Linked DNA regions of Daphnia pulex. The protein of the gene in region 3 interacts with the protein of the main gene of each other region in a pairwise test. Links are inferred from orthologs where the notes say so. Each region holds a gene or a part of one and is shown on either strand. Other genes may lie near its edges.

Region 1 (10,548 bases), on a different chromosome or scaffold from region 3:
GATTCAGTAACGCTACGTTTGGTGGCAGCACCATTTACCATGGCAAAGGACTTTGAAAAAAAAACCCTGAAAAACCGATGAGGATCTAGCCTTATGGGAAAATTCTAGTACGTGAACATACCATCCCCTCTTCTACCATGCTTGGATGGAGCTTTTATTGCGCCATTTCTAGAAATAGATCCCGCTGTGCTGCAGACGAAAAGAACAGCTCACGCTATCAGACATGTTGACGTTCCAAAGTTATTTTCATCAAGAGTCTGTCTGGTATTGAGCCTTCTCGTTGTGTTTGCTACGCTTCGCTGCTGCGTGCTGGTTGTGTAACTGAGTCACTTGACTCTTTCGTTTAATTTTTTTTTCACGTTTAGGCTACTCTTTCAGAAACAACCGATCAATCGAGGTTCACAATTCCTTTTACAGGTATATAAATATTAGTATAACTATTATATAATTATTATACACATAGAAATAAAATCCTATACTGCAGACGATTGGAACTGCTGAGACTTTTTCTACATGTGTCACTGTCATCTGTCTGGAGACCTTGAAATACTTTGACTAGAAACTGTTTTTTAATACGTAAGTTACAAAAGTTCTTTTCGTTTGAGTGAGAAAACACATAACAATATACCTATTATAGTTCTATTTTGTAATGTTTTACCCAATGTTCACTTCACTAACGAATTCTTTCAATTACGCTTACAGGGTTAAAATATCCAATGAAATGTCGAACAGTGACATAAGTAGACAAACGTTCGAAATGCTCGCTCTTGGGCGACATTTCGATTTGGGTACCGTTTACGATGCAATCAAGGATGAAACTATTCCCGGTAAGTATTAAAATAAAAGTATCTTCCTGGTTGAGCTTGTCGTTATTGTTCTCGTTTTTTAGACTTCATACAACTAATTATTTTGAAATCAGTTTGGACAATGGAGCAGTATAGCGCAGTATAGGGCTCTTTCGGATCTGTTTTATTTAGCCGATTTATCTGGCAACGCAGCATGGCGCCGTCTCTTGGTAGGGCGAGAACAGGGAGAAGAGGAAGAATGGGAGGGAGGAGGGCGTCCTCCCATTCTCCCTATTCTCGCCCTACCAAGAGACGGCGCCATGCTGCGTTGCCAGATAAATCGGCTAAATAAAACAGATCCGAAAGAGCCCTATAGGCCTAATTCTCCACATTAGTTGATGGCCACATTATATAAATGTCCACATTATTAATAATAGAAATGAAATCGAAGAAACGTTTTAATTTTTAAATAGCTCGTTTATAAAAAAATCATGTTTTTAATATTATACTAGCAGTTATAGAGACAGAGCACACCTCCGCACACCTCATCATGAATCCAATTTTTTTGTTTTTTTTTTATCAGGCTATACTTTCTGGAATGGAAGTGATCTGAAAAACGTCCAGTCCACCAGGAACGACTACACAGATTTTTCGATTATTGCATCAGACAAACTCACCGACAAATTCCAAGAACTGAAAGTCAACGGGTCACTACAAGTCAGCATCTTAAGTGGCATGATTAAGCTCAGCGGATCGGCAAATTATCTCGACAAGACGAAAAGTACCAGTCGCCAATCGAGTGTTCATGTGAAGTTGAAGTGTCGCACCGCAGCCAAGAAATTACTAATGGAACATTTGGATGAGAGTAATTTGCGTTACCCACAGATTCAAAGAAGCGGTAGAATCGGCTCCGCAACTCACATCGTTACACAAATCCAGTACGGTGCTGAAGCTACGTTCACGTTCACCAAAAAACTAAGCGAAACAGAAAACGAACAAGAAGTCAACGGAAAGCTGAAATTAGATGTCGATAAATTTACCAAATTTCTTAAAGGGAACGCAAATGTTGGAGGTAGTTGGGCCGACACAAATCGAGAGAACGAGGATAGCATCGAATGTCATTTTCAAGGCGATTTCGAACTGCCCAGTAACGTGGATCGTCCAACAACGTACAATGAAGCCATCGAGTTCGCCAAAAAGTTCTTAAAATTTTCATCCGATTGGATGGCAAAAGACGATGCGGATGTAAGCAAGTCGCTTGGCGTGCCCATTAAAGTTTGGCTCTACCCGTTGGTGTTGATGCAAGATGCCCAAGGAGCTCCGGCTCTTCGATACGAAATTAGCGTTACGCTGGCGTCTCAATGCGTCCTGATTATGGATAACTACGGCGAAGTGGAAGGTACACTTGTTCTGATGCTTGAAGACCCTTTAGTAAAAAAGTTAAATCCACTTCAAAAGAAGCTCCAACTGTTCCAGCGATGCCTAACATCTTTCATTGCCGAACTGAAAATAAAATTGAAAGAAATGGTCGTCGGCATTCGCAGCGGCAAAATCAAAGTAGAAGATTTCAGTCAGCTGATGAGTCGAATCAGCAATGAACAATTCACGTTTAATTCCAATCGCCTCGAGCAATGGCTGGATCAAAAACACAAGGAACTTTGTATTATCCGAAGATTTCAAGATGAAGCTAAAAATAAATTAGGAAATCAGCAGAGCAAAGTTCATTTCTTCCCTTCTGCGAAAACACTGCTAACGCAAATGACCAAATTTCCAGTTGATTTTGGTTTCGAAATTTCACTCTCCTCCTTGGCTCACTCAGAACTTTTTTTGGATCAACTCAATCAGACGCTCGGGACGAATTTTTTAAATGAAATTTCATTACGGAAGAATACTGTAAACTTAGATCTTTGGTGTGAAAATAATTCCGTCATTGAACGGATCCAGAAGGAGATAGTCATCTTTGCCGAAGTAGTCAATGCCAAATTTTACGACGAGAAATTCGCTTTTGCCATGACGGCACTTGACGAATACCACGAAACTTGCGCAAATGAATTTTCGATCATTGTTCACCACAAACCGAAAAGGGTTTTGGGGTGGGATGCAGTTTTGAATGTTTGTCAACATTATCCAAAAGAAAAAATGATAGACATCATACGCCTGTTAGTTGAAGAAAAAATCCCAGAAGTATGGGATCCGTTTCCCCTTTTTGTTTTATGTCAACATTACCACAAAGAAAATTTGATCGACATTGTCCCATTGTTAATTGAGAAAAATATCGACGTCAACTGCAAGGACATTAACGGAAATAATGCCCTCCTTTTGTTGTGTCGAAATTACGACAAAGAAAATTTGATCGACATTGTCCGATTGTTAATTGAGAAAAATATCGACGTCAACTGCAAAAAAAACGACGGATGGAGTGCCCTCCATTTCGTGTGTTGGCATTATAAGAACGAAAATTTGATTGACATTGTCCGGTTATTAATTGAGAAGAATATCGACGTCAACTGCAAACTAAACGACGGATGGAATGCCCTCCTTTTGGTGTGTCGAAATTACGACAAAGAAAATTTGATCGACATTGTCCGATTGTTAATTGAGAAAAATATCGACGTCAACTGCAAAAAAAACGACGGATGGAGTGCCCTCCATTTCGTGTGTTGGCATTATAAGAACGAAAATTTGATTGACATTGTCCGGTTATTAATTGAGAAGAATATCGACGTCAACTGCAAACTAAACGACGGATGGAATGCCCTCCTTTTGGTGTGTCGAAATTACGACAAAGAAAATTTGATCGACATTGTCCGATTGTTAATTGAGAAAAATATCGACGTCAACTGCAAAAAAAACGACGGATGGAGTGCCCTCCATTTCGTGTGTTGGCATTATAAGAACGAAAATTTGATTGACATTGTCCGATCGTTAATTGAGAAAAATATCGACGTCAACTGCAAACAAAACGACGGGTGGAATGCCCTCCTTATCTTGTGTCGACATTACGACAAAGGAAATTTGATCGACATTGTCCGATTGTTAATTGAGAAAAATATCGACGTCAACTGCAAAACCAACAACGGATGGAATGCTCTTCATTTCGTGTGTTACTATGCGCCTAAAAAACTTTTGGTTGACCTCGTTTCGATATTAATTCAGCACAAAGTCGACAAAAAAGTAAAGACGACTGATGGTTCAATTGGGACTGCACGTTCCTTACTTTTAGAGCGTTTTAAAGAAGACGAGGTCGCAGATGTTCTTCAAATGTTGGATTCATAGGCGCATTTTTTCTTTGGTACATACAGCTATGTAATTCTTTACATTTGACCTGAACATAAAATACTTCGTGCATTATGTCAAAAGTCAGAATATTTATTCAATTTTTAATTCTTTTTAGAATGCATTTCCTTGGAGTGTTTGCCAACAGGATGACGATGATTCGCTGCTTTTACTACATTCAGAAATAATTTTCTTAGTTCTTTTTTCAATGAAATGCAAGCTTCTGAAAAATTGGTAAAATGTGTTCAAAAAGATTTACTCTAACCCAAAACATGATTTGAAATTTACGCCATTTAACTTATGCTTAAAATGGAATTTCACCTAAATATCATCTTCTGTCAATCAATTTATTAAAACCCCAAACAAACATAAGTGCACTTCTTTAAAAAAAAAAAAAATTTTGTTTTAGACTTTCGTTTCAAGATCTCCAGCCAAAGCTTTTTCTTTCAGGTGACTTCTTGACTGTGGTGGAGGAGGCTGCAACATTTGTTGTTGTTGTTGCTGTGATTGTTGTTGTTGCTGAGCAGGAAAGTGTCTGCTGTGCCCTTCGGCTCTTCTCCTTTCCATTTCACGAGCCATGGCCGACCGATACGCCTCGTAATTCATCACAATCGTCTCCAGTTCCTGTTTGTACAAACGTTTGAGGACGTTGTCGTAGCAGTCGAGTTCCGGCAGCCGGAACAGCTCCCACCGCAATTTGTGGTCGTGTTCGGGGGCTGCACGAAAGTAAAACTGCAACCAATAAGGGATCTCCTCGTACAGGTAAGGATTGGCCGGGACCAGCACTTGCGGTGGAGCGTGAAATTCCGTGTGACGTGGAGCCGGAGGCATCGGTCTCGACGGACGCATTTGTGCATCCGCCAACGAAGAGGATCCCGACGTGATGTAACGGGGGGCACACGGATGTTCGTACTGGGCGTGGCGGGTCGTGTGATTGACGTAATAAATTCCAAATTCACTCGACTCGACTCGTTCCCAACCTGAAATGATAAAACAAAATAAATTAAAATCCTTATTTAAAATCAAAAATGTTATACCAGTGGGCAATCCTTCTTTCTCCAGCGGATGGGACCAGTGAGTCGTCTGCGTGTTGTGATCGATGTAATACTTTCTGCCACGCAACGTGTAATCAATCGACCATCCAGGTGGCAAAGGAAACTCTTCCGAACCGCTATCCTGACTCGTGTTGGTCGACGACGACGCTGGAGGTCCAGCAGCTCCTGCGGTCGTCGATTTACTCAAATTCTGATAGACGGGATTCTCTTGCTGTTGTTGGGAGCTGCTGTTACTGGCCAGCGAAGACTGGGAAGCGCTGACGCTGCTGGAAAGCAAAAGAGGGATGTTGGCGTAGGTGGGAGAATGTTGTTGTTGTTGTTGCTGCTGCTGTTGGTGGTGGAGTTGTTGTTGTTGATGCTGTTGGACGCTGAGCCTCAACTGGGCCAACTGTTGCTGCAAGACCAACAACTGTTGCTGCTGTTCACGTGCAGAAGCAGAGAGATAAAGTGGATAAATGTGCTGCTGTTGTTGTTGTTCAGCTGCCTGCATTGAGCTGAGCTAAATTGTTCAAAAATTAAAATAACAATTAGTCGAATTTATTTAATTGTAATAAAATAAAAAAAGGAAAAAGATTCTTTCATTTCCAGCCAGACCAAGGAGAGAGAGAGTGTGTGCGAACCAGCAGACAAACAAACAAAAGACAAACGAAAAGCAAAAATGAGGAAAGCCATACCTGGGAATCAGGATCAACCAGAACGAGTTTCAGTGGATTGGCCTGGGTATTTTGGTGGCATAAAGGAGAGTTGGCTGGGAACTGCTCAGACCCCGGTTTCATCAGAATATGCCCCTCAAGGCCCAAGCCTCTTGCCAGTGAGAGTGAATCACTCTCTGATACCTCGGCGTAATCAGCGTAGGCCTCATCAAAGGAGACAGACTAATTTGGGGGCAAAAGCCGTGCAACACAAACAAGGATGTGAACATTCACTCAAGCCAGGTGCCGATGCAAGCAAACATGCCGTAAACAAATCACCATTAAACACACAAACAAACGTCTACCTACCAAATGACTCTGTTGCTGTTGCTGCTGCTGCTGTTGTTGTTGCTGCTGCTCAGCTTTGACTTCGCTGGCAGGTATGTACCTTCCCTCGTAACCCTGCTGAATTTGCTGCTTGCCACCATGTTTTATGTTGGACACTACTTCCAAACTTTGAGTCGAGCCGCTCAGCTTCTTTGCTGCCTGGGACTTGCTCTTCAAAGCATCAACAGTTCTAGTGGAGGTCCAGACGTTGATGACTACGTAATGACAAAAGAATTCCGTTTGTTAACTAGACCAAAACATTCTTTAACGGTATGCAAACTGGTTTATATGTATTTACTTGGCACATCTGAAGGCGCTTCTTTCTTTAGGTATTTCCCCGTCGTAGTTCCATTCGAATTCCAAGTTTTCGGATCCTTTTTCTTCGTCAACATTTCCGTTGTGACTTGTGTAAATTGTGAAACGATTACAAATTTAGTAGAGCTTCCGAATCTTGATGAATCAACACACACTTGACGAGGTTTTCCACTTGAAACCCCCTTGCCGGAGGTGAAAAAACAAAACTTTTGGGCGCATTCCAACGTTAGAGGGCCACCTAACGGTTGAATCTTTATCATTTTCGGTTAAATATTTTTTCTCAAATATTTATCTAAATTATATCATTAATTTTTGAATTAAAAATTTAGCCTATTTCAAATGTTTAATTTATAATTTAAGCTTAATTGAATTATTAGAGCTTGATGAAATTGAGGCCAATACCTGTCAGCTGATTTCCCCTTAAACGTTCGTCTGTAAAAGTCGAACGAAAATTCTCCCGTTGTTCGAATAAAAAGGAAAATATTAATCTGTAAAAACGATGACCTGAATCACCTTGATAATGGAAAATTTTAATTGTTACCCTTCGTAAAATAGTTTGTGCTTTAAGGATTTCGTTCAATCCCACTGTATATGCGTGCAAGTTTCTTGACCCATTAATGCAGCCTCACATCACACAGTGTTATTTCCCTTTCTCACTGCTTAATATTCTGACTAGCCATGGCCTTTCCTTCGTATTCCGGCCCGTTGAAAAACCCTTTTAATGATATTAGTAATGAAGATGATGAATTTGGTGATTTCACAAGTGCTGTGACGTACCCCACAATCGGTATACATATTGAACATTACATGGCTTGCAAGCAATGGCGTTGAATTTGTAATTTCTTTATTTCGTTGCAGGAAATTGCAACGGGGAACCTGGCTTTCAGGTCAGTTTGCCTGTGCAGAATCATCCATCAAGCAACACCAAAATGCCCACCAGCAGTGTCTTCTTCAATCCCATTCCTGATAGTAGTGACATTGATGATGAATTTGGTGACTTTTGTGGACCTATTGTGGCAAACGCTTCACAGTTTTCCATGGTTGTGCCTGCTACACCTGATAGTAATAGTAATATAAGCCTTCCACCAGAAGGAAGTCTGAAAAAATGCCAGCCCAATTATGACATTGATCTTGAGGAAGATTTAACAGGAGTGTCCCAGTTATCGTGGATCAGTCAGAAGCAAGACGAGTCTAATGGAGTTGTCGAAGAGGAAGAAGAATTTACAAACTTTACTAGTGCTGAACCGATAAATTGTCAACCTCTTGCAATCAACAGTGTGTTCTCACCCATCCAGCAGACTCCTCATCCGATTGTTGAAGAAATCTTCTCCACATTGGGACAAGTCTCATTAGAATTACCCCCTACTCTGCAACCACTGGATCAATTGACAAACTCCAAAGTCGATGATGACTTTGGTGATTTCACACAGGCGTCATCAGTTTCTGAATCAAATCATCCACCTGTTGTGGAGGATCTTTTCAGTTTAGACGCCGTCCCACCTTTCACGCTGGATTCTCCGGGAGTCTCTAGTCTGTGTTTCGATCAGCAGGACGAGATGGAACAGCCCCACTTTGCCGCCATGAGTGACTCGACGGATTCGCCTCAAATCAACTGGGATGAACCACTGGAAGTAGTTGATCCACTTTCAACGACTGTCTGTTTCGATGTGGATAAAATGAACCCATTGGATGACGTCGTCAAGGTGGAAGAAGAAATATTAAACCAAGAAGAAGAAGAGGATGAAAACGAATTTGTTTTTCATCAAAATGTGGAAACGGCCGAGCCGGAATTTTCAGATTTTCAAACGGAACCGATCGACTTACCAGTCGATGATGGCGACGTCGAAGAATTTGGAGATTTTACCGATTTTCAAACAGTAAAAAAATTTAGATTTTACTTCATTTATTAGTTGAAATTATTTCTTAATTTAATTTAATTAATTTAGGCGACGTTAGAGGCTGTGGCTACAGAAGATGATGACGAATTTGATGATTTCGAAGCAGCTCCCTGCACGGATAGCGCGCCGGTAGTTGAATTGCCAGCGGCGACACCTGAAACTCACATCCAGCGGATGTTGACGACCTTGTTTCCGGTCAATTCAGCAGCCTCCACCGACTCGGAACTTCAACAACAATCGTCGACCATTCCATTGATGAATTCTCCTGGCGGTTCCTTGTGGTCTTATGTCAGTCAGTTGGACTCTACACCGGCGCTGTCATTTAGTTGGAGGCATTCGGCAGCTCAGCAGCGATTCCTTCACTCACTCCGCATCGACAGTGTTCTCCAGGTATTAATTAATTTATATTTCATTCACTACCAAAGAGTTATTTAAAATGAGCTCGATTAACAGGGGAATGCCGGTGGTTTCCGTTGGAATTCGCCACCCAGCGTCAATTCGCCATCGGCGTCGATGAGTGAAAGTTTCACCGAGGCGGCAGTCACATTAGATTTGGATTTCTTTTTAAATCCATCATCATCCGCCACCGCCGTACCTGTCACCACCACCACTACCAATAACACGACGAGCGACAGCATTTTGGAGACGATTGAACGCGAATTGCTTTCACCTCAGGGTAAAGGACTCCGCAACCCAGGAGTGGCTCCTATTGCCCAGTCACCAGCACTACCCGTCCGTCACAATAATCACCAATTGAGTGACATTTTCCAACACTTGCATCTACAAGATAATGCGACTAATTCGTCTGTGACTAATCGACAAGTCGATCTACTTCAGTAAATTTAAAGATAAGAGGGCATTTTTTCTTTTTCCTTTCACGCGTGAAAACACACAAACCCACATTCCATTCCTCCTCCCCCCCACTTTATTTGGGTCGTTTCGTTCGGGATCGAGTCATATCAATTTTTTTTTTAGAATTTAAGTTTATTCTCACAAATGCATCGGTCTAAATGTTTTAAAACTATTTTGAGATGGAGAAGGGGATATCGTGCAAAAACTTTAAAAATAAATTTTCAAATTTTGTCTCTTTTTTCAAGCGTCTAAAAGCAAAATGTCCTTCGTGTTGTGTAAAAATTTGTTTATCGGTCCTTTTTTCAACGACACGGAAATGAATTACATTTTACGTGGAATTATTCAATAAATAGATTTTATTTGCATTAAGTAGAGAGGTAATAACCGTCGATGCTGTAACCAAACAATTCGAAATCTATTTTGTATTTTTCGTAGAGTTTCAGGATCGTTTCCCGGTCGAGTTGGCTGTAATAAGATTTGATCAATTCCGTTTTAGATCGACCGAGTGTCGTCGAGTGTTTGCGCAGTGGGCCGCTGCTTTCGCCCAGGAGATTGAGCAACAACTGGACGTCCTCCTGGAGCGTTTCAAACTGGATGATGACGTCATAATCGATGAGACACGGAGTGCAGAAGAGATAGTAAGGAATCCAGTGGTCGTCGGCGTAGAGCGTTAAATCCGTGTTGATCAAATAGGCGACAAATTCCTGGAAAGTCGGTTCGATCCTTTCACCGTCGTTCTGCTCCTTTGGAGATTTCCCGCGGTACTTTGCGACGATTTTGCGGCCGTATTTCTCGTAGAAATGGAGCGTGCCATCTTCTCGGTGGATGGTGGAATTCTCCAGTTTGTCGCGATAGGCCGACAGGATTCGCTCGAATGGATGGCGGACCACCATCCACTTTTTGGACTCTTTCATCAACTGCAAATTGTGTAACGATTTAATTTGAATTAGTTTAAGTAGTTTAATTATTTAATTACCTCGGCAGCGGCGGGGTAATCAATCGATGGGAATTGCTGGCGTGCGACTTGGCTGATTTGTCGATGGCCTTTCTTCATTTCCGATTCACCGTCGATATTCTTCATGGCCAGTAACCAGTGCAGCATCGACGTGGAAGCGGCCTTGTAGATTGGACAGTAAACCGCCTTTTTCCTAGGACTGAAAACAAATTTTAAATCAAAGGAATTGATCTAAATGAATTCAATTTACTTACTGCAAATAGTAGAGGACACTATACTGCGGCGCTGGCGGATGCGGGATGGAATAATCGGCAATGTTGATTGAATTGGGTTGGATGTTGTATTTGACACAGGTTTCGGCAACCTGTTTTAGCCTCCGGGACATTCTCTGCT
Region 2 (10,595 bases), on a different chromosome or scaffold from region 3:
TTACGATTCCGATTACGAGTGTTCCGATAGCCTTAACTTGGCATTGACAGGTCTGTCAGGTGACCTTATCCAATCGGTTGCGGGTGTGGCTCAACAGCACGAAGACATTTCCCGGACTGTGTCCGACACCCTGGCCGCCGAGTTCAATGAATACGTCTGCATCTACAATCCGTCTTTCCAGAGGTACTAGATTGTCTGCACTTACTCTGAGAGGCAAATTTAAATCTACAATTACAAATTTGGGTTTAGGTTGAAGGAAACGGCACGCGATGATTCCGACGACTCCGACGAGAGTCCCCTCGCCTGTGCCACTGACCCGTCTTATTCGAATCGGGTCGAATTTGCCTTAAAATTAGGTTATACCGAGCAGCAAGTTCAAAAAGCTTTGGTCAAATTGGGGCAACCAACCCAGAATGAACTTTTGGCCGAACTCATTCGTTTGGCATCTCTAGCCGGACCAGGGTCGACGGAAGGAATCGAATCACAGTCGGATTGTGTTCGATCGCATCGTCCATTGTCCATCACTAGTTCAGATGAGGCGGTGCTAAGGCATGTCGTCATCGATGGAAGCAACGTAGCCATTAGGTAAATTGGTTGGCTCATTACTGCTAAAATAACACCAAACATTAATCTATTTTTGACCATAAACAGCCATGGCAACAAGGAAATTTTCTCATGTCGAGGAATCCAGCTGTGTGTAGACTGGTTCCGCGCCAGAGGTCACCGTGAAATAACCGTCTTCGTTCCCATGTGGCGGAAAGAAACGTCTAAAATTGACGCGCCCATAGCCAGTAAGTTCATTCCTCCTATTTGCTCATGTTCGTTTTAATCTAAATGATTCTTTTTTTTTAATCATCAGATCAAGAGATTTTGCTGGAATTGGAAAAGGAACGAATGCTGGTTTTCACTCCGTCAAGGCAAGTCGGTGGCCGTCGTTTGGTTTGCTACGACGATCGGTACATTTTACGATTGGCGGCCGAGACGGACGGCATTGTCGTATCCAACGACAACTACCGCGATCTGGTGTCTGAAAACCCAGAATATCGAAAGATAGTCGAAGAGCGCATCCTGATGTACTCGTTCGTTAACGATCGGTTTATGCCGCCTGAAGATCCTTTGGGTCGTAATGGACCCAAGCTGGATCGCTTCCTGCGCAAACTTCCAGCCAAGGGATCCGCAGAAGCTACTGCCCCTCCGTGTCCGTATGGCAAAAAATGTACCTATGGAAACAAGTGCAAATATTATCATCCGGAGAGAGGCAATGTCCCTCAGAAAACCATCAGCGAACGGTTGGCCGAGCAGACGGTGGCAAGAAAAATCCGCGAATCTTCTCCGACATGCAAAACGTTTAGTCTTCCGTTGACGAAAAATTTTGCCAGCCCAACGGCCGGCAAACCGCCCAGTCCTGTGAAGAAAACGCCACTCGCACGGACGAAATCAATCGTGCCAACACTGTCACTTCTTCCTCCGGAATTGACTGAAGAGAGACCAGTTCAAGACGGCCCTAAGCCGGAAGAGGCCGACACAAGGGCGCCTATTCTCAAGAGCCGCAGTGTAGAAAACATGGCCCGGCTTTCGCCAGTTCGGTCAGTGATCCAAGCACAACAGCAAATCCCTCACGGTCTAATGCTTCACGCTCCTCCACCCGCTTTCTCCGTCCCTCCGCCACCAATGACCATGGATGGATTCGGAAGCAACAGTATTAACTGGAACAGAAGCGGACATGTCCCCTTGGGCCAACAGTTATCAGATCCGCCCTCCGTGACTTCTTCCAGCGGGGTAGAAGAGCCCGACGACTCTGCTCGACCTAATCCGCACCGGAAGGTTCAACGTCAGCTGACATTGAATCCATTGAACCCAGCATGCGATCCGCGATTGTACACCTTAAAGGGCTTGGCTCCGCCTTATCCGCCTCCGCCCATTTCCGTCCATTCGATCGTCACTCGCAACGCATCCGCTCCGGCACCAACGTCTCAACTTCACGCTCGCTCCCATCCACATGTGCAACCCGCAGGATCCAACAATCACATGCAACGACTGAACAGCACATCCGACACACAACTTAATTTATACGGGGCTGCTGCTGCTGCGTCGGCGGCCATGCCCGGCTCGCAAGACTGGAGCTCACAGGGTCTGACAGATCCTTTTGACGAATGGACCAACTCTCCTCCTCCGCCATTACCACCCGTTCAGCCGTCTCAACACATGCATCAACAACAACATTCTTGGGCCAGCCGAACTTCCAGTCTGCCAGCTCATCAACACCTGTCTTCATCGCCGGTGCAAGCCTTCAACGAGAACGGGCCCAACAGTAAAAGCGAAGCACGTTACAAGCTCTTTTATCACTTGGCTGCCATCTTTCCTGAAGAGCAGGTGCGACAAGTGATGTCACTGATGCCTGACGAAACAAACGCCCAGAAAATCTGCGCTGCCATTTTGGCACTGTACCCCAAAGACAATTAGGTCGATCGGCATCAATTAAATGCGTCAAAAAGTATGTGCGTCCTATTTCAAGTGTCTGTTCCCCGACATCAGTATTCGATGCTGGGGATTCAAGATCGTCCTGAAGAGAAGTTCCTCCGTGGACTGTCAAATGCCATTAAATGTGAATGCCACTTTTGTTTAGTGACTTTGTTTGACAGTTTGGTTTGCCTCTTTCCATATGTTTGGCTCTTTCAAGTCTTGAACTTGACGAGAGCGTCGAAGAGCTCAGTTCAGTACTTGTCCAATCCTTGTTGAAAGCGGCATTGTATATTCCGTGGATCAAGACTATAATCGTTTATTTATCCTGGAAAAATCTCCGCTTTTGGGTCAAGTTTTATTTACTACGATACTGTGTATCGTGGAAGTCTATATAATTATCTATATATACTTGGTATGAGGGGTTTTCACCCTGTCTTTCTCTCGTTCTCTACAAATTTGGCTCTCTCCTTCTCCTGTTTACTTATTTTTAAAAAAATTTCGACAATGTATTATGCCCATCTTGATTGAATTAAAATCGATACACATTTGCGTACAAAATTAATTTATTGTGTTTTCGCTACATGTCCGACTGGACCTTCTTTGGTCAGGCCGCCTCTTCGTCTTCGCTTGCGCAGTAAAGAATTCCAATCGAATCGCTCTCCAGTTCGTTTTGTACCGTTCACGATGCGATCTGAATTACAATCGCTAGCTTCTACTTCAACTAGTTCCCAGTCAACTCCTTCCAACTCCAGCTTATCAGTCGTGATACTCGGAAGGCTACCAATAGGGACACGTGACCAATCGTGTTCTGCCATAAACAGAAAATGAAATAAAACATTGGTTGAAAAGTTTCGGTTGCTAAATGTGATAAGGTTATTATACCTGAACACAAGGTCCATTCATCGATCACTGGGGCTTGGTCAGCTGAATATTTGTTGTCTTGAGAATGTTGGTTGCCCGAGTCCCTTTTCAATACGGGTTTCTCATTCTGTGGATTCAACATTGCGGCAGTGAAGATTTTGGAGTGAATCGTGGACTTGCCAAAAGCGGCACGTTCTGAAGGTTCGGCAGAAGTGTCTTTACCCAAATATAGTCGCAACAAAGCGGCCACTTTCTCTTTCTTCTTTGCATTTACAGGCGGATCATATAACAGAAAGACTCTAAACAAACGACAAATTGAGGGAAAAAAAAATTAATTGCACGACGACAACAAGTGAAGAGGATTTCAGTCCTTACTTGGATACAGTGTTCCAGGTTTCCGGATGAGGTTCTAGAAGAATGGCATGTGTCATTTTATCCCAATCTACAGAACGCAAACCTTCATCGAATTTGAATACATTCTTTTCGTTTTCAGGATTATTTCGGGCATGCAGCACAGCATTGGTCATGTCTCCTATCAAACTCAAGAATACTCGTTGTTGCTGATCATCTTCAACTTCGATGGTGACTAACTTGTTCATCAAGTATGGAACCGTTTGCCATTGTTGAATCAATGTCCAGATGGGTTTAAGGTTGGAGAAAATTGTGCCCTTTTCGGGTTTCTTCAATAAATGGGGACTTTGACAGAGAGCTGAGATGAAACATTTCCCTTTGAGTGCGTCGACTTTTTCCGTCTGTTCAATTCCCTCAACCCCATCAGTTTCCACCCATTCAGACAATATCCGTTTGATTTCATCAAATATTAATGCAAGGATTTTCTTTAACGGTATTGCCAATTTGGCAATTTCCTTTTTGTTCAAAGGAGTGGAAGGGATCTTGGTCTGGAGCCAAAGTTCGTAAGCGTACTGGTGAAGGTCTCGCGACTGAATTTCATTGAAAGAATTCCGACAGCCCATTTCCTTAAGAAGCACTACTAGCATAGACACGGCTAGTTGCAATTCTTCAGGTATTACTGCATGCTTGGAGGCAGCCGAACCCGTATTCTTCCCTTCCTCTGCCATTTTCGTTTTGGCAAGCATCATTCGAGATGTGGCCCTCTTGGACTCGGGCCAATAAAGATCATAGCTATCTTCTTCTTCGGTACGCCAATAATTTTCCTATTATTAAATTTGCATTCATGTCTGCGCATAAAGGAAAGTTAAGAAAAAAAAGTGTCTTTACCTTCAACCAATCCATAGCCAAGTTGGCGCCTAAGAAATTCGAGAAAAAAATTTGAGATGAAGAATTTTTAAAATTTAAGAGTTATCGTAGAAAGGCGGTATGTATACCTGGCCTCAAGATATCCAAAGAAGGCATCTTGGCGTGGGTAGCCTCGTGCCGAATACTGACAAGCCAGTCGGGAATCCCTGCCATTTCGGCAATGGCGGATATGGGTTGATGTCTTAAATCTACTTGTCCTAAATGAGATATCAAATTGATGAACCTGTGAACAAAGATTTAAATAGGTTTAAGTATTGAAAGATACTTAAACATGTAACTTAACATAGTAAGAGTTACCTAATGATGGCAGTGGAGTACATTAAAACCACATCGTTTTCAGACAGGGCACTGTTAGGATCCATCTTGTATTCCTCATCACGTAAAATTGCTTGTAACAAATACAAAGAGCATTCAACACCTAGAGATAGCTTGTCAACCCTAATAAAAAATGTAAATAAAAATTAGTTTATCAAAATTATCATTTTATAAATGAATTACCTAGATTTCCACATTGTCATTTGATTCAGTCCCGCCCATCTCTCCTCAATTTTGTTAGAGTACACTTGTTGATAAACCCGTGTCCACTCTTCCCTAAAGACAATTGTTCATGAATAACAAGCAAACTACTTTTCATAGTTATAAAATAAATATTTAAATAATAAAAGCATAGGTAATTAGGTACGAAACATTTAACATGTACGTGTACGTTAGCTTTTGGCATTTGAACCACGTGACTTCTATTTTAAATGTTAACCGTAAATTAACCTATTTGACAATTTCTAGTATTATAGAACTTAATAAAATTTTACATGGAAATCCATGGGACTATTCGTTTCGTATTGTTGGACATCAGGAATTCTGTGGAAAAATTCGAAACAAGAAATTTCGAAATTGAAAATGAATAACACACAACAGCGTCTATCAAATCAACTCCTCGTTGTTTTTTTTTCTTTTCTGTTTTTATCGTCTGCTTCAGTACCAACATTCTCCGCTAAGGGGACGCTCTCAATCAATGCCCTTGAAATTTTGTATTCACGTGAAAAAACGAATTTTTATTTGTGAAATCGTAAAACCTTTGTTTATCTTTTAGATGAGAAATATGAAACAGTTGGTTGATAAAACTTATTCAGAGAACAGGATTTGAAAGGATCACGCTCAGCGTTTGAGTTAAAGGAGCCTTTGAGGTAAAATTCTCTCTTCAAAGTGAAACCGCCAGAGGGGCAACTAGGCTTATAGTCTGCGCTGGCTTCAGTGTTATTCCGAGCTTTTTCGTGACGAATGTTGTTTTGTCCGTGTGTGGACTTAATGTTGCATCGAAATTTTAATGTTTGTTCTACGTATTATTGCTAATGGATAACCGTTCAAGTAAGTAGTAGTGCTTTTAAAAATTGAAAATCTTTCGTCAGTAAAAACTCGAGTTTTCTTTGGGGCCGTCCTGTGCTCGCTCTAAAAAAAAAAGTTCTTCCAAGATGGCGGAAAATGCCAAACAGTCTTGGAGGCTACAGTCATGGTTCTTTTTCTTTCTCGTGTTGTGATTAGTTTAGACCTGCGTGACTCACGACTGTTGATATTTTGCAAAATGTGTTTCTAGTAAATTTTAATTCTGTTGTTTGATCTTGCAGGTCTGTGATTATTGCACACCCTGACCTTGGATGAAATTTCTCAAAGTGAATGAACTCGTCAATTTATGAGTACTACAGTGAGTGACACAATGTGGATCAGTGCAGCTTTCTGGCCATGTCAGTTTCATTAAAGACTATGGGCATGCCAGTATGAGCCCTGGAGCTGAAACTAGCATGAGCAACGCAGTTGGAAAAGCCGATCGGACAGGCTATCACTTGAAAGCCCTGCAAGAAATTCGCAACTCTCTCAGACCCTTTGCCACCGAGAATGGTAGTCCTCTGCCTACCATACCTAAAGATGGACACATTTCCTACCAACAACACATTTACCCTTATTCGACTTCTTCTTCTGGATACATAGAGGTAACTTATATCAATCTCTTATGCTGTCTATGTATTATGTTTTCTATGAGATACCATACTCTTTAAGTACAGTTCATGTAACACGAATAGATTGTTAGGTTGTGCAGATATTTCAGTTGCAGTAGTTTCATGTCAAGATTAGTTTGCCCATGAAAATTATGTACCATTGCATGTGATGATGCAACAATGATAGGAATGAAATTCTCCTACGAGTCTGGCATTCTTCCGGCCAAAAGGAAGGGCAAGTTATGCCGTCGGATAGGTCCGGACAAACGGTCGTTTTTTTGTTGTCGTTTTTTTTATTCTAAATTTTTCCTCCTTTTCTTAATCTGAAAATCCCCGTACTGTCTAGTGTCCATCAGGTATATATGGAAGGAGGGGCGTTTCAGGGGAATTTTTGCGTCCGACTGTGAGGTTACTGATTGTGTTTGTTTTGAAATTTTCGCATTGTAATGAACCTCAGAGAGTTCGGTCAGATAAGAGATTTATGAAGGTGATGGCAAACCGAGCACGCGCCTGAGGGAGTCCATTACCGCGCCAAGTATTTCTTCGATGTTGGGTCGAAAAAGAATGCCGAGAGCGGCCACCCGAAAATGATGGTTGGCGTGTCGTAGCGGAAGAAACAAGAAGAAAGGGGAGGGATATGGACCGAGCAGATGGTTCGTGGCATATGCCTGTGCTGGAGGCGCTCCTCTTTTATACGACTAGACGACCGTTGCAACACCCCAAAAACTGATATCACACATACTGATTGACTAGCGTGGCTTGAGAGATGGACTCGTAACCATCAACAGGACACACAAAGAGAGAAAGAGCGACGGTGTGACGAATGGCTCCAGAATTCCGAACGCACGCCTCATTGACCTTGCACCTTAGTAGACGGAATTCCTATGTGTTCCATCAAACCACACGCACACATTCCGGGAGACATTGTATGGCCTACATTATCGATACCCGCCTGTTGAATGGCCGCACAGAGCGAAAAGAAGAAAATAAGGGTTCGGGTTTCGACCGGATCTATTCGTTTTTGCGGGATTGCATTCCTGTCGGTGTGTAGCAGAGAGCCGCCAGTTGGTCTGTTTGTGCTGGCTGCGCTACTGATGGCGTACGCTATTTGACAGCCCTCCCTCGTTCCATCTTGGTGATGGTCTACACTCTTGCACATGTGTGTGTGCCTTCAACCGAATCTGGGCTATTTTTGGGGCGGATGAGGTGGTTGGAAAGAGAAAGAGGGAGTTGTTGGCATTCTTGAACGGTTGTTAGAAACCCGATAGCTAGACCCGCTTTCACTATACACTCGTCCCTGGCCTCCTCCTCCATATCGTCTGTAATTGAATTTTTCTTTTGATGGCTGTCTTGAAAAGAGCCCTTTTTATTAGAAATGCCAAGTCGAGAATAGAAATAAACAGCTGTAGAGGCATGAAGGAAAGTTGACTTCGTTTAACCTTTTATTTTTCTGATTCAGCATGAAAATGGAAGCGACGGCTACTTACAGCGGTCCGACGGCCAAATTCTGCAACGCTCCGCTACGACAGGTGAGTCACGCAGTCAATATTTTTTTCTGATAAGATTTCAAGGGTGATTTCAAATCCGCTAGCTGATAATAATAAATTGGTCACGCAATAACGGTTATCTTTGCATTCCTCACAGGAGCGTTTCCGCCTTCATCGGGGCAGCAGGTACACCGGAAACCGAGTTTTGAGCGAGAACCCAGGAGCAGTCCGGCTTTTGATACCAGTTCGGCCGCTTCATCTAACCGTTCTGATAGCCCAGCCTATTTTAATGGTCTGGGACTCGTTCGTGGTCACGTAGCACCCGAAGCACCGCCTTATTCGTCAAGAAATGCCTACCCGTCGTCGTCAGATCCGCCACCTCCACCACCGCCGCCTCGAGGTGCCACTCCGCCACCTCCTCCTTTGCCCCCACCTCCATCGGCTGCATCTAAATCAACAAACAGCCAACATTATCCTAGCAACTTTCAACAGATGCTCAAACGAATGTCACCCGTGCCTAATGCACCACCTATTCCGGGACCCCGTGGGACCAGTCCGGCTCCAGCTCTTCCGCCCGGTCGGCTTCCGCCCCTCGTCGTTCAAAATGGACCCCAAGCACAAGCTCAGCTGACTCAGCAGATGCAAGCTTTAAACATGTACCAACAGCAACAACAATCCAGCAATGGCAGCAGCCCATTGCCACCGTCTTCTGCTCCACCCCCTCCGTATCCCACCGGATCAGCTTCTAAATTAGTGGCTCCTCCTCCGCCTTATCGAGGACCGGATAGCGGATTATCTAACCGACAAAGCCCGACGCTTCCCAGCCCAACTGGCAAAAGTCCGGCTCCCTTCCCACCACCGACCTCGTCGTCGTCAGTTCAAGCCGGGGGGAGATGTCCACCCAACCAAGCCTGGCCACCCCGTCAACCACCCATCACTGTCAAAAGCATGCAGGTATAAATCAGCTCAAATGACACTAATCAATACCGATTTTTTAAATTATTTTATTTTACTGTTTCATCAATCATCAGGTTCAGAAACCGATACTGCAAACAGCTGTAGCGCCGTCAGGTCCTCCTCAATCATCAAGTTCACCTCCACCACCGCCTATCCCGGTCCGTTCAAATCCGGCCGTTTCAGCCTCGCCTCCGCCGCCTCCGCCTCCTTATTCCTCTTCCGGCTATGCATCCAGTAGCTGTCCTTCACCATCATCATACGCTCCTATGGCCTCTCCAAGTCCGCTATCTTTTGCCAGCACGCCGTCTCCAATCCCTAGCAGTCCGGCGCCGGTCAGCGTCCCAACGACTGATCCACCAAGTTATGCATCGACCATGCAGGTATGATATAATAACTCTCCATTCCCTACCGAACCCGTTTGAACTCTATTCGATTTCCTCTCCAGGCCTTGGCTGCTCAAAGACAGCATGGGACAACCCCCACTAACGCCACGAATGTCCTTGCCGTCAATGGATATAATTTATCCGCAACTCCTCCGCCGCCCCCACCTTATCCTTCCTCTATGGTATTATTGCTTGAATCGATCGACTGCCTTATGCAAAAACTTAGCAATGCTCTCATCATAGGCAAATGGTGGAACTGGACTTGCTCAGCAGGTAGAATCACAGGGTTCACCTCACGCTCAGTTACCTCCAAAACCGGGGCAGCGCCGGTTTTCACCATTGACTCTTGAGACTCCATCTTCGCGCTCTGAGAGTCCAATGTCTTCAGCAGCATCGCAGTGTGATTCGGGACGCCATGGCGGTCCGAGCCAATCACCAGTGAGTTTTATTTCTTCATCTGCACCTTCGGAGGGAACGCAAGATTCGGGACTTGGAATGAGCACTAAGGTATGTTCAGTTTGAAAGACATATCTATGTTTTCTTGAATCATGACACTAATTTATTTTACTTTTCTTTAGAACGATTTGAATGGCCATAGTGCACCGTCCAGTGCCAATGGGGAGGATGGTAAAGATGACATGCCACCTCCTCCGCCTCCCCCTTACAAGTTGACGCATCAGTCACCCATCCCGGAACGTAAACATATCTCACGAGAAAGGGAAGAAGAAAGGCGAGAATCTAGCGTACGCAACTATTCACCCCAGGTATGACAAGAATGCTCAGATCGGTGTAGATTTGCAATCGTCTTATCTCTTTATCGCGATATCCAGGCCTTTAAATTCTTCATGGAACAGCACGTTGAGAATCTTCTCAAGTCGCATCAACAGCGAATGGAACGTCGCATGCAATTGGAAACTGAGATGAAAAAGATTGGTTTGTCTGAGGAGGCTCAATGTCAGATGAGGCGGATGCTATCACAAAAGGAATCTAATTACATCCGTTTGAAGCGAGCCAAGATGAACAAAGCCATGTTTTTGAAAATCAAAGGTGAATATTATAGATTTGTCTAATCTTGAACCTTTAAAAGAAATATGTATTTTCTTTTTAGCAATTGGAGTGGGAGCATTTGGTGAAGTGGCTTTAGTACGTAAGATTGACACCAATAATCATCTCTA
Region 3 (10,492 bases):
TGAGCCGGTGCGTCAGCTGCTTCTTGTTCTTCTCTGAGCAACATTTTCTGTTCGCGGCGTTCTTTGCTGAGAGCGCCTTGCATCATGGCGGCTTGAGCTAGAGAACCGTCGGGATTCTTGACGATACGAACCGGACTAAGTTCATTAAGCACTCGACCGTGACCTCGAAGAAAGGGTGCCTCTTCTTCCACCAACTCGATTTCGATATCTTCTTCGTCTTCGGCCAGCTTTGGCAGTAAACCCGTTTCTTCGTCGAATTCGGGCAAGTCCATTTTGTCGATACAATTTGCTGCCATCATTTGCTTCAGTTCCCAGCGTTCAGGAGACGAAATCCGTTGCACACGCTTGCGGTTGGTTAGTTCATCCTCCTCTACATTTGCCTTCAAATCTAGCAATGAGAGAGGTCGATCTGGATTCCTTAAAGCTGTTTCACTTTCCTGGCTGGTTAGTCCAGGGCGGCTTGACGTCGAAGGAGCTGGGTTCAAATCTTCGCCAGTGTCTTGGTCCACATCTTTCATAGAAAGAGAGATCTTTTGGCCAGCAATGCTCATAACTTTGACATGAACCTTATCTCCACGATTGACAACTTCAGCCACACTATTCACACGGCCTTCTCGTCGCAACTGGGAGATGTGCACTAGACCCTCACATTTTTTCCGTATTCCTTCAATTTGTACAAAACAACCAAAAGCTGCAAGATTCATGATTTTTCCCGCGTAGACATTTCCCACTTCTGGATTCTCTGGAAAATCTTTTTGAGGTTTCTTTCGACTTGGGGATTCTCGTCTGCCTTCGTTACTTCTTTTATCATGATGACGATCACTTGTTCTGTTTCGATCTCCTCTATCTGTACTCCTGGACCTGTGACTTCTGTCCCTGCTTCTTGATCTCCTCTTTTGATCTCTGCTTCTTGACCTTCTACTTCGGTCTCTGCTTCTGGATCTCTTGCTGCGGTCTCTGCTTCTTGATCTTCTGCTGCGGTCCTTGCTTCTTGAACGTCTGCTTCTTTCCTTCTTGTCTTTACTCCTTGCTCTTTCCTGAACAGGCTCGATTGCTTCAGTAGAAATCTTTTCTTCTTTAGGAGCCATGGCTTCTAGTTCAGCCATTAAATCGTTAGCTTCTTCAACATCTTTAATAGTCAATTTTATGTCTTCGAGAAGCATTGTTCTTGCCTTAGGGTTATCTGCTAAGGCAAGACCAGGGAAGAGTTCCCGTTTCTTCTCTGTTTCTGCATTGTAAACTGTTTTCTTTACCTGGGCTAAGTTCACATCAGTTGTTTTCGAGTTGGCTGATTTCATGTGTTTGATAAGACGAAGCAAATTTGCAATGAGAGAGTCTGAAAACTCGGCGCCATTCTCCAGCATTACACTTTTGAACTCATCAAAGGTCTTGTGTTTTTCGGCCAATGCGATGATGAACTCTGCCAGATCTTTATCGTTGAGTCCCAAATGGTTTTCCAATTCTGTGCACACCTTAGAAACAAGCGACAGGTGTTCGAGTTTCTCTAATTCATCCATGATGATATAGGATATTTTGCCACTTATTAAATCATTTACAAATTGACAGCACAACAATTGGGATGGCGACGAATGTGGAAATTGACGAGCCGACGAAAAAACGAATGCTTTCGTTGTTAAGACAACGTTGCAAGAATGCTGTAAAAGAAAAATCAAAATTAATAGATGAACTGGCAACATTGCGCGCAAAAAATATTTACATTTTTTCGAAATGAATTTGTTAACTTTTGCGTTTCACAGATTGAAATGAAGAATTATCTAATCTTTCTCGGTTCTCTGCATTTTGTGTTTGAATTTGAATGAAACTTTTCCATGTTCATATTGAATTGGTATTCTAGACATACAGGTTCATTTTGCAAAATTCATATAAGAATGTAAACAACGCCGATGCTGCTACTAGTAAAAGACATTACTCATTAGTCAACAAGAGTTAAGTTTTTTTTAAATGAAAGTCTATTTGTCTAATGTCTATGATGATAAGATTTCACGAAAATGGGCAACTTAGTGAATTAAAGATTATAAACTAAGTTGCATCCATGAAAATGGTCAGCCAATTTAAAATTTATGTACAACACATTGTCAAAAGTAAAATTAAAAATATGACTTAAGCTACAGCTCTTCGAAAAAGGCCACGCGCGCTCCAGTCGATCCAGATTTTGACTAGGAAAAAAAGAAAAATTAACTCAAATTTGAATTAATGACTCTCATTCATGCGTACCTTTTTGAGAGTTGAGTATTTGTCGTCCCCTGAACGGAGTTGCTCTTCGTGTAGCTGATCGTAAAGCGTTTGTTTTTCACCTACTTTCAAGACTTCAATCTCTGTACGCAATTCTCTCAGTTGCTCCTGCAGTTGCTTCGATTTTTCCAAGTATTCGACTCTAAATTTATTTTAAAAAATGAGCAAACAATTACGCAACAATTCCTACGATAGATTTACAACCTCTCTTTCTCAATTTCAAGTGAGAGTTGCTCCATATCGCCATGTGTCATAAGGTCATAGTTGGATGAAGAGTTGACCAGTTCGGAAGCAGCAATAGCTGATAGATATCCACTACTACTTAAGCCAGTTAAGTTGGTGAGGCCAGTAAGCTGATTAGCCAGCGGAATAGGAAGGCGGGCCTCATAAGCCGGCAAACTTGCTTCGTTAGAGACATCGTCGAGTCGTCGTAAATGTTGCTGAATGTCCGACTGATGATGTAAATGGTGGTCTGATCCAGCTACCGACGAACTTGATGTCGGAAACAAGTTGGGAACAGACTGAAAAATGGTAATTGTAGTTATTCGCTCATTAAAATGTTGACAGAAACTGCAAAGTACCAGGACAGACGCGGACGACGGGATGCGTGTAATTGGACGAGATGCCGAGTGTAAGGCTGCAACACTAGCTTGTGTTGTTAAAAACTCTAGTAGCTTCTTTTTGGCTTGAGTTTCAGCGTAACGGGCCTGCAAAAGGTCACCTTTTAGCTGCTCTGCTTCTGCTGCACAACGCTCAGAATTCTCTAATAACCTTGAGGCAATTTGCTTCGCCTCATGTAATTGTCTCTGAGACAAAAGTTTTTCCTCTTCGGTCTAGACGCAAAAAGACAATTAAATGTAAAGCTACCTAAATAAGTTATGAAAAAATTCACTTACTTTCATGGCAGATAAACGAATTCTTTGCAACTCTTGTTCAGCGTCTGAGGCTTTTTGAGTTAACAACATTGACTCTTCTTCTGCAACTCGCGCCTTTTCGGCCAGCAGCTCAGCCGACTCTTCGGAACGCCTCTACAAAATTGGTATAATGAAATACTGTACTTGATACTAAAACTAAAAATTAAACTGAAGAATATCATACCAACTGTTCGTTCGCTACACGGAATTCTTCCTGAAAGTGAATTAACTGTTGTTCTAGGGCTGCTTTTTCACGTTCAGCTGTTTCGCGTAGTTGCTTCTCTCGTGCAAGCTTATTTCTTTCACTCTGTCGTCTGAAAAACGGTAAAGTAACCACAATAAGAACTCAACAATGAATAAGACAAAACTTGTCAAGGTCAAATTTACCTGAGTTTCTCTTCTTTAGCCTGAGCCTTCATTTGCTGAACTTCAATTGAATCCGGTTTCCTCCGACGCATAAAGAGATCATGATTTCCAATACACAAATCTAAGATCTAGACATAAAAATGCGGAAATAAAATTCGCTATCCTTTTTCATTTATGTAAAAATCATGGATTACCAATTTGTTGACTCGATGCTTATCCGAATAGAAAATAAAAGGGGGTGCAGTTTTGTCGACTGGTTTAATGGCAAACTTTTTGTCGTCATAGCTGATGTTTTGGATCTCTGACCAGGGAAAGTTAATGCGCGGTACGGATTTGTTATCCTGCTCGTAAATATTCAGACCGAGGGCCGTAACACCAAGCCACAACTCGGAATCCCTTTTATTCTGTTCAAATAGAATAATAAGTTGTAGATTAAAACAAGTTAACAATATGCAAGATATACACGCATTTTAGTTTTAGCTAGGGTTTCTAAACTCACTTTTATAGGAAAATAGTTAACGCCATACATTTCTAAATCCTGTACGATTCTCAAGTACTCCATTTCAGCCTCATCACGACTGAGACCTTTATGATCCGCGTACCTATATAACATAAAGTAAAGTCTTAAGTCTATAAAACGGTTAAAATGGAAATGATGATCCTTATTACCAAATTTTTATTCTTTCTTCCCACATTTCAGCTGTCATTTGATACTGATCAAGAACTCTCTTAGGCAGTAAGTCTTCTGTACCAAGGAGACCAGGTTTCATGGCTGCCTCATCATAATCACCATACTAATGGGAAGGAAAAATTAATTGTGGAAAATCACCCAAGATATAATAATATTACCTTGGCTTGCAAAGCATATGAAGCAAGCAAGACTGATATTTCAGGAGGACAGTATATATCCATGTTGAGTATACTCTGCTTTACTTGCAAGAAAAACAAATGTTGAGTTATTTCTTGAACCAGCTCTTCAGCCACATTCTCGGGATAAAACTTAGCCAAAAATACAAAAGGCACAGGAGTTGTTTTGGGCACATCTTGGTCCTGAACTATAGATATTATGGCCATACAAACAGTTATTAGGTGAATGACACATAATAAGCATTAACACTCACCTTTTCTATCCATTTTCAACCACGCCAGAAATCCTTTGCAGTCTTCATACTGTAACCCAAAATACCAGGTCTCCCTTAATCCAATAGTTCGACACACTAGATCAAATAAATCTCTTCCATTTGCTTTGCACTACAAGAGTTATAATTGTCAGTTTTTTACATGAACATGATTATGTGAATAAATAATACAAACCTCTAGGTTGAATTCAAGTTGTGCGTCTAGGGTAAGAATTTTTACTGGAAAACATTTTGACGATTTGTGCTTCCGGCGGAAATTCATTTTAGCACACCGAGACCTAAACTTAATCAAACAAATCTAATGCAAAAACTTATAAAACTTAGAAAACGTCTTCATTTTGATTCATTCCATTTGTAGAATCAACACAGAATTAACAAATACTGTTCTTTCAGCTGATACAAAACAACGGAAAATGAACAAAAACAGGCTTGATTGCAGACGATGGGATTTTCCATCTATTGACTATTGCCACAGTGCACAGCCATCTGGACCCTGGCGGGACAACATGAAACTACTGGCGGGAAATCGTTTTTTTTTCTTCAGTTTTATAAAAAGAAACATTTCATGTCTGGTCGTCACAAAATTACAGCGTAAATGTCATGCTTTAGAAAATAGTTGAATACATGTATAGTAGGAGTATGACGAATTTCAAAATTGTATTATTGTTCACTGCATTTTCATTCAAATAAAAATAATACATTACGTGCACTGTTGACTTCAACCACTAACATCTGATAACATCAATATTTTAAATTTTGTTTAGTAAATGCAATAAAGTTAAACACAGCAGCCACGTGTGAGAATTCATTAGGGAAAAAAAAACAAGAGCCAACATACCCTTTTTTGTTTATGTTACACACTCCAGAGAAAAGACTAGGTATTTTGTTAAGGGAATTATAAACATCCATAAAATTGAAGGGATCAAAAAAATCTGAGTAAATTTACCCGTGTCCAAAATGCATCGAATCGATAGGATTTAAATTTTCCAACCACCGCACTTCCAGGTGCATATCTGAGACAACAAGCAGTAGCTAAGCTAGTAAATTTCAAGGGGAATGAATGTGTTAAAGAATAAGTATCTTGAAAAAATGATGTACAAACGGCGAAACCAAACATATTGACTAGCATGAGCTGCCATTGCTCTCTAAACGTGAACACATAATTAATTTATTTAGCAAAAGTCTTAATTGACATTATTAACTGTTTAAAAAAATACCTGAATGTTCATCCTATTAACCCAATCGGCAGTACAGATTAATGCACTAGGTTTGATTAAAATCGAATCAATAAATCCCAAATATTTTCGAAACAAACTGACCGTTTCCAAAATGAAAACTCGGACAGTAACTGTTGGAAAAATTAAAGACGATCTTTTAAATATCAATACATTTAATTATGCACACTATAATATAGTTTAAATACCTCTTTTTTTGCTTTCTTTCTTTAATTGCAACACCCCCTGATAAATCGATTTATGATTTAGGTGGCCACTGATTCCATTCTCATCAAAAGTTATGAGCTATAAAAAATTGCATTAAATTGTATTGTTAGTTAAGCCTATTAATCTATTCCTGAAATACTTACACTGTCAATTTTCAATTTTTCAATGTAGATATTCAAAGTATCTGCAACTGATTTGAAATCCCACAAAGAATGTGGATCATCTTCAAAGAAAGGAGGTCCACTGTTCACAGATAATGTAGAAATTTAAGAAAATTTAAGAAATTTCAACAATTTATGAATGTTTGAATGAATTTTTACCTGTGAATTATAATATTGGAATCAGCTAGTCCAAGAATCTTGCAACTTTTTTTTAGTTCCTCTCTCCTTGTTTTACCTAAGCCATCAGCATTGCCTTGAAATAGTGAATTTCACACATTAGAAATATTGTTATAACGTTTGAATTTAAGCACAAGTAACGAACAGACAAGTATATGAGTCCAAAGAAAAAGCTATAGTTCATGTAAGCGTATAGTAATAGTGATATGTAGTATTGATTTACCATCACTCAAGCAAAGAATGTAAATATCCTTTGCTTTCTTTTTCCTGGACGAAGAATCACTTAATGATGGTTGGACTAGTGCTGTGATGGCAGGTCCAAAAAACATGCATCTATTATACATGCATTCATAAGTGCATAAGAGAAAAAAAGTTAGATTAAGGTATTCCATAAAAATGTATATCTCAATTAACAAAACATACTCGTCGTCCGGATGAGCAATGACGAACAAGACATTGCTAAGCTTTTTAAAGAAAACTTCTTTAAGAAACAAACTTTTCTTTTGACTCAAATATCGGTAAGTGAAAAAGGAAACGAAAGTCCAAATTCCTAGTATAAGTAGTAAGTACCAACACATTTTAAAAATAAATATAAGTAGATAAGCCGAAATTGCTCTTCGAAATTCAAAAATACACAATCCTACAGCAGACGACAGCATTCGTTTTACAGCTGCTACCTGCTAGCTGTTTAGCGACTTTAGCCTAATGTGAAAATAAAGAAAATGAAAATTTGAAAACTTATTTCAACAACAAAATAGACCATGCTAATCCGCACAAAGTTTCTTTTAATTATCCTAGTAGCACAAATAAATAATTATCCTAGTAGCACCAAAAAATTATGAGCTTATCTTGCAACTCAATTTCACGTTTTACTTCTGCTAATTTACATCAAGATAATATGCCGGCCGGTATACTTAATGAAGAGCTACTGGCCGTGATGTAAGCCTGTAAGCTTATTTAACTTGAAAGATAGTTGCCACAATCAACAAATTCTCTTCTAATTAACGAAGCAGAAGCAACGTTGCAGATGAAATTTCTCAAACAAACAGCTAACGATTATTTACAGACTACTAATGTAGCTACGTTTTAAATCACGTATTATGACAAGGTACAGTGGTACAGTATATTCCGTGTGTTGTCATGGTTATAGACTTATAGGCTCGCACTTTGTTGTCGTTATGGACTATGCGCCACATCCTTTGATAATCAAAATGTTTACTAAAGCAGGTGAAAGATGAAACAGAACGAGTAGTCGTGGGCGCTTCTTGACTATAAAGATCAGAAATGTGCAGCAGGAGTCTGAGTATGTTATGGAAAAGCAGCGCCACTTCATGCTAAACATTGTATTTACATTCAAGGAAAACTGCGAGCAAACTTCTTAATGACTGCATTAGCTAATCGTGTATTTACACAAGAGTAATTCGCCTTCCTAAGTAGTCCTAACAGTATCAAAGCATCTAGTTAGGATCAAAACAGTCATGTGCTGTAAAAGATTAAAAAAGCTACCCTGACAACTCGTTGCTGTCGCTAGGCAACAGCACAGTATAGAAATAGTAGGCATATACAATTTTTCTTATCCTTTTTTCCCTGATGCAATAACTCGAGTGATTGCTGATCCAGTCGGATCCAGCGGTGATGTAAAAAGTACAACCCAACTTCTTCTTTGTCTCTGTATACTTTAGTAATTGGATATTGTCATCGCCTTAATCTTTTACATCTTTTAAATTGTTATATCAAAAGGTGAAACAAGCTAAAACTGGTTAAGTAATACTTTGAACTTCATTTTCAAAATACGTGAGCTATAACCTAAAAACAATACAAATATGGCGATGTGTATAATGCCATCGGAGAATTAAAAACGGATAAACGCTAGAGCCTTGCGAGTTTGAGTTCACGAGGGACTGCTGTAGACATACAAAGTTATTGATTAAGTTATCACATGAAAACAAGAGAATGCTATGACGCTATGTCAATAAGGTGTCAAAAAGGCTAATAGCTAAAGTAAACTATTGTTTGTTCCAGACAGTTTGGAGAGCTTAAAATGTAAACATTTTATTTGTTCGTTTTTTTTTTGCCTCCTTGACGTCACTATATTATATCTAACAGTCTACTCTATAAGCCTCAACGTTACAAAGGTAATATACTTGACTTTTTTGAATGATGCATGAGGGGCGTGTTACGTCCAACTCCTATGGGATGCACTTTTGCTGTTTAGAAATTTTGTTAAATATGAAAAGAAGGTCAAGACATTTCAACTGTTCAGTACCGTGCAATAAAAACATCACTGGCTGTAATACGTTGCTGCAGCATTGTCTAACTCAGTATGGGGATGGGTAAGAAGAAAAAAGGAAAATTGGTGGCGCAGGTAGAAGTGGTGGAATGAAAAATATTCGTTTTCTCACCTGCCCCCCTACCAATTAATGAAAACTTAGGGAAGAATGGGCGTAATGCTACAAAAAGAACAAGAAACTTTTTGTCGAACGACGAAGGTCATTAGATCCGAATAAATCAATGGGCGACTTTCTTTTCGTCACCATCACTCTTGTCAAGCTATAACAACCTATTCATAATCCGGGAATGAATTTCACAATTATGATCAAATTTCAAATTCGGTGGAATTACATAAGAGCCCACTCAGGTTTAGAACCTGTATTATTCATACATGAGCGATCCTTACGGATCCTTACACGGGTCATTATATATTCCCAGTCATACAAGGGGTACTGCCCACGTGAACGTCATTGGCAGGTCGTTGGTAATTCCACTTTCTCGCCATATCTCAAACGTGTAACATAAAGAAGGTGTCAATAATTACACTTTTGTAAACACTGTGTTGTACTTTGTTGATTCTACTATGATGGGCTTTACAACACCGATAAAACTGTCGAGTCCATAAACTTGCGTGTCCCCTGCTAATCGAACGCAGTCAAATGTCATGATTGCCAGTCATATCTCAAGACATGAACGAGATTTTATTTTTGATAATACTCTACTACGCACACGTTAGTACGTTATATAAAAGGACTTCTCGAACTTTCTTCAGTGCAACATTTTCAAAATGATGAAACTACTTCTTGCGTTAACTACCTTGGTGGCTGCTGCCCACTGCTGTAAGTAGACATTTTCAGCAAAACATAAAATTCAATGTTGGGGATTGTGTTGCCTGTGGGCTATAATTTATAACGAAAAGTAGTATGGCCTCATAGTATTCACAGACTTTTGCTTAATTACAAGTTACAAACGGCAGCCAGGAAAAAAAAGTTTTTGCGTTCACTTTTCCCAATTATCAATTGACGTATTTATTATATAGTTTCAGTAAACCCGGCTTCCGGCTTCACTGGAGATAACAACGAGCCATGCTACAGCACCGCATCTAGTGGAAAAGACGGAGGCATTTGCCTCCAAACGGTACGATCAATAGGAAGCCATTACTATTATATTTAATGAGAGTCTATCCAGATTGGATGAAAGAATTAAAGAGTTCATAATTTGTTATAATAAATGTGTTCTATTCAGGACTGCTGTGCTGGTGCGACCTACATTTCTAACTTGTGTCCTGATTACCAGGCCAACGTGAAATGCTGCTACTCTTATAATTCGTGCAACACAAATGGTAAAATGCACCTTTATTCATTTAAAGAGATTAACATTGAAAATAATGCAACTATTTGCTTTAGCCGTTTCTTGTCCGGCTGCTCAGGCTGTAGCTTGCGAAGTTTTGGGAATGCACGAGAAAGGCCAGATTTACTTGAAAGGTGAGCACTTTGATGCTTCGGGCAACAATCCTTATGATGGAGCCAGCGCCTTATCCAACATCCGTGATACGTGCTACGGCAAACATGCCAAGCTATCCGCGTAAGTTAAAAAAAAAACCCATAAATATTGAGAAATGATTTTCAAAGTTCCTTTTTCGTTGACCAAAGCTACGGTAATGCTCCCGGAGGAAATGTTTGTCTGACAGCAAAGATGGTGACCAGCTTGCGTGATTATGCTCGCAACTATTACAACTCAAACGGTGTACCCATCGAGGTATATAATTT

Evidence for each region.
Region 1: the proteins of merlin-like (region 3) and scaffold protein salvador-like interact in a two-hybrid assay, tested with the Drosophila melanogaster proteins (2 studies listed by BioGRID). The link is inferred for Daphnia pulex from reciprocal best matches to the Drosophila melanogaster genes Mer and sav.
Region 2: the proteins of merlin-like (region 3) and serine/threonine-protein kinase Warts-like interact in binary tests that used the Drosophila melanogaster proteins (3 or more experiments, as listed by UniProt). The link is inferred for Daphnia pulex from reciprocal best matches to the Drosophila melanogaster genes Mer and wts.

The regions. Positions count from the first base shown.
Region 1 is NC_060028.1:81,491-92,038, reverse strand, and holds scaffold protein salvador-like, read right to left. Parts: upstream 6,662-10,548; 5' UTR 6,528-6,661; coding exon 6,434-6,527; intron 6,351-6,433; coding exon 6,118-6,350; intron 5,992-6,117; coding exon 5,791-5,991; intron 5,616-5,790; coding exon 5,099-5,615; intron 5,042-5,098; coding exon 4,467-5,041; 3' UTR 4,395-4,466; downstream 1-4,394. Other genes in the region: uncharacterized protein LOC124209127, read left to right, coding at 722-827, 1,369-4,061; uncharacterized protein LOC124209131, read left to right, coding at 7,129-7,237, 7,309-8,327, 8,397-8,738, 8,802-9,188; carbohydrate sulfotransferase 11-like, read right to left, coding at 9,566-10,117, 10,177-10,354, 10,410-10,548. UniProt on the Drosophila melanogaster protein: Plays a key role in the Hippo/SWH (Sav/Wts/Hpo) signaling pathway, a signaling pathway that plays a pivotal role in organ size control and tumor suppression by restricting proliferation and promoting apoptosis.
Region 2 is NC_060026.1:6,944,574-6,955,168, forward strand, and holds the start of serine/threonine-protein kinase Warts-like, read left to right. Parts: upstream 1-5,618; 5' UTR 5,619-5,967; intron 5,968-6,224; 5' UTR 6,225-6,374; coding exon 6,375-6,587; intron 6,588-8,052; coding exon 8,053-8,122; intron 8,123-8,237; coding exon 8,238-9,034; intron 9,035-9,111; coding exon 9,112-9,417; intron 9,418-9,482; coding exon 9,483-9,602; intron 9,603-9,663; coding exon 9,664-9,927; intron 9,928-9,998; coding exon 9,999-10,184; intron 10,185-10,250; coding exon 10,251-10,467; intron 10,468-10,528; coding exon 10,529-10,595. Other genes in the region: probable ribonuclease ZC3H12C, read left to right, coding at 1-183, 250-585, 652-791, 860-2,463; uncharacterized protein LOC124206172, read right to left, coding at 3,027-3,271, 3,346-3,623, 3,700-4,499, 4,564-4,592, 4,671-4,825, 4,900-5,040, 5,101-5,193, 5,412-5,587. UniProt on the Drosophila melanogaster protein: Negative regulator of Yorkie (Yki) in the Hippo/SWH (Sav/Wts/Hpo) signaling pathway that plays a pivotal role in organ size control and tumor suppression by restricting proliferation and promoting apoptosis.
Region 3 is NC_060022.1:2,537,418-2,547,909, forward strand, and holds merlin-like, read right to left. Parts: upstream 5,155-10,492; 5' UTR 4,935-5,154; coding exon 4,848-4,934; intron 4,785-4,847; coding exon 4,655-4,784; intron 4,589-4,654; coding exon 4,383-4,588; intron 4,328-4,382; coding exon 4,203-4,327; intron 4,136-4,202; coding exon 4,033-4,135; intron 3,938-4,032; coding exon 3,728-3,937; intron 3,662-3,727; coding exon 3,555-3,661; intron 3,482-3,554; coding exon 3,352-3,481; intron 3,282-3,351; coding exon 3,150-3,281; intron 3,087-3,149; coding exon 2,835-3,086; intron 2,775-2,834; coding exon 2,458-2,774; intron 2,396-2,457; coding exon 2,236-2,395; intron 2,178-2,235; coding exon 2,127-2,177; 3' UTR 1,817-2,126; downstream 1-1,816. Other genes in the region: ATP-dependent RNA helicase DHX8-like, read right to left, coding at 1-1,517; N-acetylglucosaminyl-phosphatidylinositol de-N-acetylase-like, read right to left, coding at 5,710-5,817, 5,890-6,020, 6,096-6,192, 6,258-6,357, 6,435-6,528, 6,676-6,785, 6,876-7,111; uncharacterized protein LOC124195655, read left to right, coding at 9,511-9,562, 9,763-9,860, 9,969-10,065, 10,130-10,307, 10,376-10,481. UniProt on the Drosophila melanogaster protein: Regulator of the Hippo/SWH (Sav/Wts/Hpo) signaling pathway, a signaling pathway that plays a pivotal role in organ size control and tumor suppression by restricting proliferation and promoting apoptosis.